Linked DNA regions of Nothobranchius furzeri. Each later gene encodes a partner of the first gene's protein in a complex. Links are inferred from orthologs where the notes say so. Each region holds a gene or a part of one and is shown on either strand. Other genes may lie near its edges.

Evidence for each region.
Region 2: the proteins of prpf40a (region 1) and sf1 are in contact, whole or in part, in an NMR structure (PDB 8PXX), measured with the Homo sapiens proteins. The link is inferred for Nothobranchius furzeri from reciprocal best matches to the Homo sapiens genes PRPF40A and SF1. Residues at the interface, in NP_001352526.1 of Homo sapiens: His164, Ser166, Tyr172, Tyr174, Ser181, Thr182, Trp183, Tyr213, Tyr215, Ser222, Arg223, Trp224; in NP_004621.2 of Homo sapiens: Pro575, Pro576, Leu577, Pro578, Pro579, Gly580, Ala581, Pro582, Pro586, Pro587, Pro588, Pro589, Pro590.

Annotation. Positions count from the first base shown.
Region 1 is NC_091754.1:18,349,393-18,353,216, forward strand, and holds part of prpf40a (pre-mRNA-processing factor 40 homolog A), read right to left. Parts: intron 3,779-3,824; coding exon 3,737-3,778; intron 3,631-3,736; coding exon 3,520-3,630; intron 3,353-3,519; coding exon 3,232-3,352; intron 3,057-3,231; coding exon 3,032-3,056; intron 2,950-3,031; coding exon 2,725-2,949; intron 1-2,724.
Region 2 is NC_091743.1:88,302,480-88,306,303, forward strand, and holds part of sf1 (splicing factor 1), read right to left. Parts: intron 946-3,824; coding exon 814-945; intron 1-813. UniProt on the Homo sapiens protein: Necessary for the ATP-dependent first step of spliceosome assembly. Binds to the intron branch point sequence (BPS) 5'-UACUAAC-3' of the pre-mRNA. May act as transcription repressor.

The DNA.
Region 1 (3,824 bases):
TTCTGAGATACCAGATTTGATGTTTTCATTGGTTGTCACCTATAAATATCAAAATTAAACGTAATAAACATCGGAAATACATTGGTCTGTGTGCATTGCATGAATATAATGTACAAGTTTCACGTTTTGAATGGAATTACTGAAATATTTTCAACCTTTTGATGATATTCTAATTTACTGGCCAGCACCTGTACTGGCCAAACAAGGCCACTGCATTAAACTTGTGCAACTAGTCAGCCGTTATTTAGATACTTTTAACTTTCTTGCATCCAAAGTAAAATTTCATGTTTTACTCAGATTGGATTATCAGTAAGTGCTGCTAATTTCCATCTCATGTGTTGTTTCTGTTTATGTGACAGCAGAAAGGAAGCTAAACTAGCTTGGTGTATCCAATCCTAGTCCTCACCACCATGCCATGCATGCCGTCTATGTTTACCTGCAACAACACACCTGGTATGAATCAGTGGGTGATTAACAGGCTAATGAAGGCCATCAATCTTTAAATCAGGTGTGTTAAGGCAGAGGAGCAGCTAAAACATGTGCAGGGCAGTGGCCCCTGATGATCAGGACTGAGGCCCTGTCCACACGTAGCCGGGGATCTGCCAAAACGTAGATATTTTTCTACGTTTTGGCCTGTCATCCACACGAAAATGGATCTTTTTAAAAACTTCGGTCAAAGTGAAGATCTGCGTTTTCTCCGTTTTGGGTGTCTGCGTGTGGACAGACAAAACCGGAGTTTTAAGGTCCGCAACGTCACTTTCCACGACAAAAAATTGCTGACATCACGTGTGCGACCTGTGTTTACACTAGCCGACAGCACGGATGCCCTCAGAGCTGCGCTCGCTTTATCAATTGTCCAAGCGCTTTTTGCTTGTTTGTTGTTGCAAGCGGAATTACTGCTCCTTGCGGAAGACCACAGACGAAGGACGAGGTTAAGAACGGGGGAAGTACTGCCACCTACAGGTCTGGCATGTCCTTAACAACGTATTTATCCGGGTACGTGTGGACATTTTTTTTTTTAAACGAGGTGATGTGGATGCAATTTTTTGGAGGGGCGGATATTCGTTTTTTTTAAAACCCGGCTACGTGTGGACTAGGCCTAAGACCAGTAACGTCACCGCGCCGCGACGAATACTTTCCAAATTCAGAGTGCTCAGAATGTGGCCTTAAAATCCATTCTCCTTTTCCCTGATTTTGAGAACAGGTGCGGTGTAGTCTCATCATAAAATGCACAGCAGGACAGGTGTTGTAAGAAATTCTGTTCCCCTGAAATCTGTTCCCTCGTGTTGGGAAGTCTCACTTCAAGCCCTCTTCCCACCACTTATGATCGACTTGTACAGAAAAAGTATGTAATGTAATGATGTCATGCTTGTGATATTTTTTATTTATATTTCCTCCTAAAAACAATATAAAAGTACAGTAAAAACATTGTTGTTCACCCTTTTCCAGCAAGTTTATCATTTTTGAAAGTTATGTAAAAGGATGTAATCTAACTCAGTTTAACCATCTTCTATTTGAGGTTGTTTAGGCCTCATAATGAACATTAAGTCCTGTGAATTTGGAAATATTAGTTCTTTATTTGCCCAAGTTATTAGGGGAAACATATTATTTTCTCAGAACACTGGCGGTACCTCTGCTGTAACTCTTCAAACAGTAACAAAACAAGGAAAAAGTTTAACATTTGCAATCTCCACTTATGCAGCTTCTACTTAGTGCGGTAGCAGTTGCTAGGTGACAGGAGGACATCCGTCCTAGTAGGGGCGGGACTATTATTTGAGGCTAGACTATCCAAATTCACAGCTGTTAACATCCGGTCTAACTGGACCTGGAAGAACACGTTCTGCTGAGACCAATGAGGACAGGTACTCATTGGATGCAACCCCTGAATTTGGACACAGCCGTGGTCTGATTTTGTTAGCTTGCAAGAGCTGATTAAACCCCGTCTGCATCTTAACCTGCTTCACACAGGGTTAATTGTGTTAATGCAAATTTCACCTTTTTTTAATCACAGATTTCTGTGGACAAAAATGAAATGCACAAAGAAAAAAAAAACTCAAAAACGAAAATGAAATGGATCTGACATTTTCAAAAACAAAGAAAGATGAAAAGTGACAGAGACGGAAATCCAATCAGAAGACGAGAAAGATGTGAGGAACGGACACGAGGGCTACTCAGCAAATGGAAGAGGCGGGACCTGAGAAGAGAACCAATCAGTGTCCGGAGCCACCCACTGTTTGAACAAGCCCCCATTAAAGGTAACAGTTGAACAATTTATGTTCATGGCTGGGAGAGAACGTGAAAGAATGTCAAATATAATAATAGTTTTAAAAAGAGTTTAGTCAAAAAAAACTAAATTCAAATTTCTTGTCAAATAGAACACTGGCAAGTGAAAAAAGACAACACAAGCCTGTGACAAATTTGAGACGATCAAAGCATCAAAAATGCAAAAACATTATCTTTAAGATAAAAATAGAAGAACAGCAGGACCATAACCAGAGCAGCGAGAGAGGCCATCACTCATCTCCCACAGTTCAAAGTTCAGTCATTATACTAGAATAAAGCTGCCGACCTCCGTGTGCTCCGTTCGTTAACCTTTGCAACGTTCTGATAATTCACCTCCATTTCCATGCATCTGTAAAAGCTACAGTTCAGAAAACTCCTGCAACATTTCCTCTACGTTTTTCTGAAAAAGTAAACTTTCAAATCTGACCCATAGCTGTTTACCTGGCTGTGCTTTCTGTGACGACGGCGCTCTCCGAGGACGTCACAGGTGCATCAACAGCCTTGACCTCAGCTGTTTGATTCACTGTCACCTGGGACGGCGGCTCCTCCGAGACGGCTGCTGTTGCTGCTGCAGTTTCCACCTCCATCACTGTCGCCATAGAGGCTGTAGTCTCAGCTTGAACTGCAGGAGCTGCTGTCGTTCCAGGAACCACCGTCTCTGTTGTTCTGCAATCAAACCCAAATGATCAAAACCAGTGTCAGAATAATCATGCTGTTAGAAATAAGGTAAATAAATAAGAGTTCCTACCCATTCTCCTCTGCTTTGATCATAGCTGGAATAGACACACAAAAAGAGTTAAACAAGGCTTTCGGCTTTCATCTTAAAGCTCGTTATAAAGAAATGCACTCAAGAAGCTTCCAGAACTCATCTACGCATCAAATCATTTGCTGAACATGGCAGCAATAGGAGTGCATGGCTCACGTTAGAAGGCTGGTCCTTTTCTTTACCTTCCAGATCCTCCAGCTCTTTGGGCTTGGTCCACCTGGACTCTTTTGTCTGAGAGTTGTAATAATAAGGCTTCCCAGTGTCGGACTTGTACTCCTTCCAAGGACACTTGGACAGTAATTGCTACAAAAGCAAAAAATATATATATAAGGAAATCGCACTTCAACTGCAAGTTAGAATACACCATCTACTGAATCTGGTACATTTATAATACATGTAATTGTCTTTATTCCTAATTATAAGTACACAGATAAAGAGGCAAATCCAGGTGTTGTGCAGGGCAATCGTACCTCTGCAGGAGACTTGAGTTCATCCGGCTTCTCCCATGTGGACTGCTTGGTCTCCGTATTGTAATAATAGGTCTTCCTATCTAGTGATTTGTGTTCTGTCCACACCGACTTCTAAAGCAAACAAAAACAACAAACACTCTAAATCAGTTTTTTTACATCTTAAAACAACTTGATTTCAAATAAAATACAAGTTGTTTTATTTTGAAAATGTGCAAACCTTTTTTGGCTGTTCCTCCTGTGGCGAGCCGTTGGCGGTACTCTGCAGAGACGAGTCAGACAGACAGACGTTAAAATATAAAAACCTG
Region 2 (3,824 bases), on another chromosome or scaffold:
GGCTTATTGGTGAGTTGAGATTTTGTTTGTTCTTCGGCCCCCAAAAACAGACTAATCTAAACAGTTTCTGTTACCTACAGGTTTCAATGTGAAACTGAATTATTTTCCATTGGTTCAATTTCATATCTAGGTCCACCTCAAACGGCCCTAACCCAAAAATCTGTGGGTTTTTTTTGGGTCAGCAGCTGTAATGCTGTCGGTCCTGCCTAAAAGATACAAATCTTAGTCTTTTATGAATAAAGTTTGATATTGGTCTATATTCTACTAGTCTAATTATTTTAGCATTGGTTCTCTTCTGCAACAGGAAGAATCTGTGTAAACCCAACTGAAGCAGCATTGCCCACATTCAGGCCAATTATCCTCTACCACGCAGAGTAATGAGGATGTGTTGAACGAGCGGCAGCGTGGCGGTTTTCAGCAAACAGACGTTTGATCAACTATCACCAACTCTTGTTAATGGCTGCCCAATGGTATGCAAACTGGGGGACTACAAAACAGCAGAAACACTCAAAGGGAAATGAACAGAAACCTCACAACAGCATTATTATTATTATATTGCTTAGTAAGAATGATTATTTTGTCTCAACAGTTGGAGCAAAATAAGACATTTCCACCTTTTAGCAAGAAGAACAGTGAAAAGAACTTTATCTGACTTTGAATTAGCATTGCCTTAGAAAGCTCAAACTGTTGGGAATTCAGGAAAAAGGAAATAGCCTAGATGCTGGTACCATAAGAGAAAACTAGAACCTTCAACAAAACAGTAACATCCAGTAACTGACATGGTAAACTTTGGTAAAGACGAACATCATTTACCTATATACGCCCTCTCCTGATCTCGCGTGAGTCCAGGGGGAATAACAGTGGGCATCCCCGGTATAACAGTCTTCTGATCAGGGGTCTCACTGCTCCATCGACTCCTCTTCCTAGTTTTCTTCTGGCCGAAATCTAAACAAGAAAAATTAACCCATGAATTTTACTTTACCCCTTTATGAGAAGCGTTATTCAAATTCTACATCAAATGTCAGAGAAAAGAAGATGCTATCTGATGTAGCCTCTGGCTAGGGCAGTAGCGAAGCCTCGACGACGTCGACGGCTCGATTCTAAAAATTTGTCGACGTCAGATCCGGAAGTCGATGCACCGCGCCCACTTGTTGCATCCCCAGGAGTTTGTGGAATCTGCCTGTTTTTCCTCCTCTAGTTCGCCCTCTTCTCCGCCTTCACTAACATCTCCGCCAAATACCGAAGACCTGGAACAATGTCCGTCCACAACTAGATTATTTTCCTGTTTTGCCCGCCTTCGTCTCCCGGCAACGGACAACAACTTCCGGGGTCAGATGCGCTGCTTCGTCTCTACCGCAGATGTAGAAAATCACCGGGAGCGTTTCTCCCTTCATAAAGGAGCTTCTTTCAGACATTAGGAGAGCTGTGCTGGTGGTAGCAGTCTCTCCTCCGTGCTGGTCTGTTTGCTGCTGGGTGTTTTTGGTTTATTTAAACTTGGTGACTTGAACTTAACGTTGGTAAAGCTACTGTTAGCATCTTCGCTAACAGCTTCTTGCGTTTGGATAAGCTGTTACGTTTTGGTTTAGAGTTCATCTTTTTTGTGGTGCAGATCTCCCTTTTATTACATTTAGAGTGTTGTGGGTTTTCGGTTTAGTTTAAAATATCACCTTGAGTTTGGTTTCACCGCCCAGTTTAGAGTTGGACCTTTGGAGATCCTTATTTTGGTCCAGAACCCTGTAATCTTTGCCCAGTGGGACATCCCCACTTATTTGTACTTTTGTTTTAATTCCACACAGGCAGAATTAGTTTTATTATTCCCAACCTGCGGATGGAAAGATTTATGTTTTTTTGTAGTTGTAAACAAACCTGATCATCATTTTAACTTTTAAATCCCGTTATTGTCCCTTCCTTTTTGCACACGAGCCAAACTCCCCAGGAAGGGTCGTAACACCACTCGCCTCACGCACATAAGTGACCAAAACAAAGCAGCATGGAGACACTCCGTCTCCAACCACCTCTCAGGCAGCAGCCTGCACTCCCAAGATCTACACGTCACCAGAACATAACCAACCAACACAATAAAAGCAGTGTTGTACAAAATGGAAGGCCTGTAGTGTTTATTCTCTTACAGTAACAATTGATCAATGTTTTTGAGGAATTTATTTGAGATTTTCTGGTTTTTGTTAATTGTGCAATAGAAAAATAATCATTAGACTAATTTTCTAAATACTCATTAGAATAGTCGACTATTTGATAAAATAATCGTCAGAATAGGGCTGGGCGATATATCGATATTCTTTAAATATCGGTATAATTTTTAAACAAGATATAAGATGACTATATCTTTATATCGATATAACTGGCCAAACTGCTATGCTAGCGATTAGCCGCTATGCTAGCGACATGTTGCTCCGTCTCTAAGCAGCCATTACGTATATTCTCACAAGTTTGCTCAGTCTGAGAGCCTCTGGGTAAATGTGCTGCTCTAAACTTTGCATTTGGCCTCCTGGTTTTTAATTATTTGGGGACGTTCAATGCCAACGGTTTTCCATCCTGCTTGTGCAGAGAGACGAGCCAAACCCCTCCCTCCCCTGTGTAATGAGGAAACGGCTACGGAAAGCCGGAGTGGCCAAATGACCTGAAACATATTTAAGGGTTTGAATAGTAAACTATAGGGTTACCGTTTTATTTTGAAGGCGAACTCAACGGGTGAGAAATGTTGTTCCGGTTCCGTTTTTTTCCGTTCTGGTTTGCTATGCTAGTAAATACTCCGTTACGAGTGACTCTGATGAAAAAGTTGAGTTTGTAAGGTGTGGGTTATGGCGACAGTAGCCCGAAAATAACACTCATAAAAGCAACCAGAGACTCTGAATCATTACAGTATAATCGCTGATATGAGCCAACACTGCTAACTAATAACTAACGACTAGTTAATAACTAGTTTTTCTAATAACTAATAACTCCATGGTGCATGACCCATGTGATCTTCAGTAGATGCAATTACATCATCGTACATTTAGCTTAACATGATGGATTTTTTTTCTCTGGACAAGATCTATACAATATGGGCCACCTCTAGATGAAATTTAAATAATTTCACATTAATTATAAATATATAATTAAAAAGTGCCTGTGGGACATTTGATACACCTCTGGCTCTCAACTGTGTGTGTGTGTGTGTGTGTGTGTGTGTGTGTGTGTGTTAGCAGACATCTGTACCTGTGTTACTAAAGCTCAGACTGGTAGAGAATAGGCACTACGGTTAAAGTTTGACCAGAATCAATACATTTTTATGCATTTAACCTACTGATTTATGTATATAATTTCTCAAGAGCTTGAAGTGAGTTAACTTGTCAACAGTTTACAGGAGGAAAAATATCGAGATATATATCGTATATCGGAATTCAGCTTAAAGATATCGAGATATAAGTTTTGGTCCATATCGCCCAGCCCTACGTTAGAATAATCGTTTTAAAAATAATCGTTTTCCCCCAGCCCTACCGCTGACTGGTGTCAAATGCCTAAGTACAAAGTTGAAAGGAAAACAATGTCCAAACTATTTCTATTAATTGGGAAAATGGCTTTTGTCACAACTGGTAAAGAACGCAGGAAAGCACACGCCAACCAAAACAATGGGAGCGGAAGCAGTCCTGTCATGTTAGAAAATTGTAAACACCTCAAGCAGAGGCCCAACTTGAGCTGATTAAATTTATATCTGTAATAATGCATTCGTGATTAAAACATTGGCAGCAGATGTCATTGCTTTTAAACTAGTGTATTCAAGACAAAAGCTTTAGTTAACCCAGAATTCAACATAGCAGTAG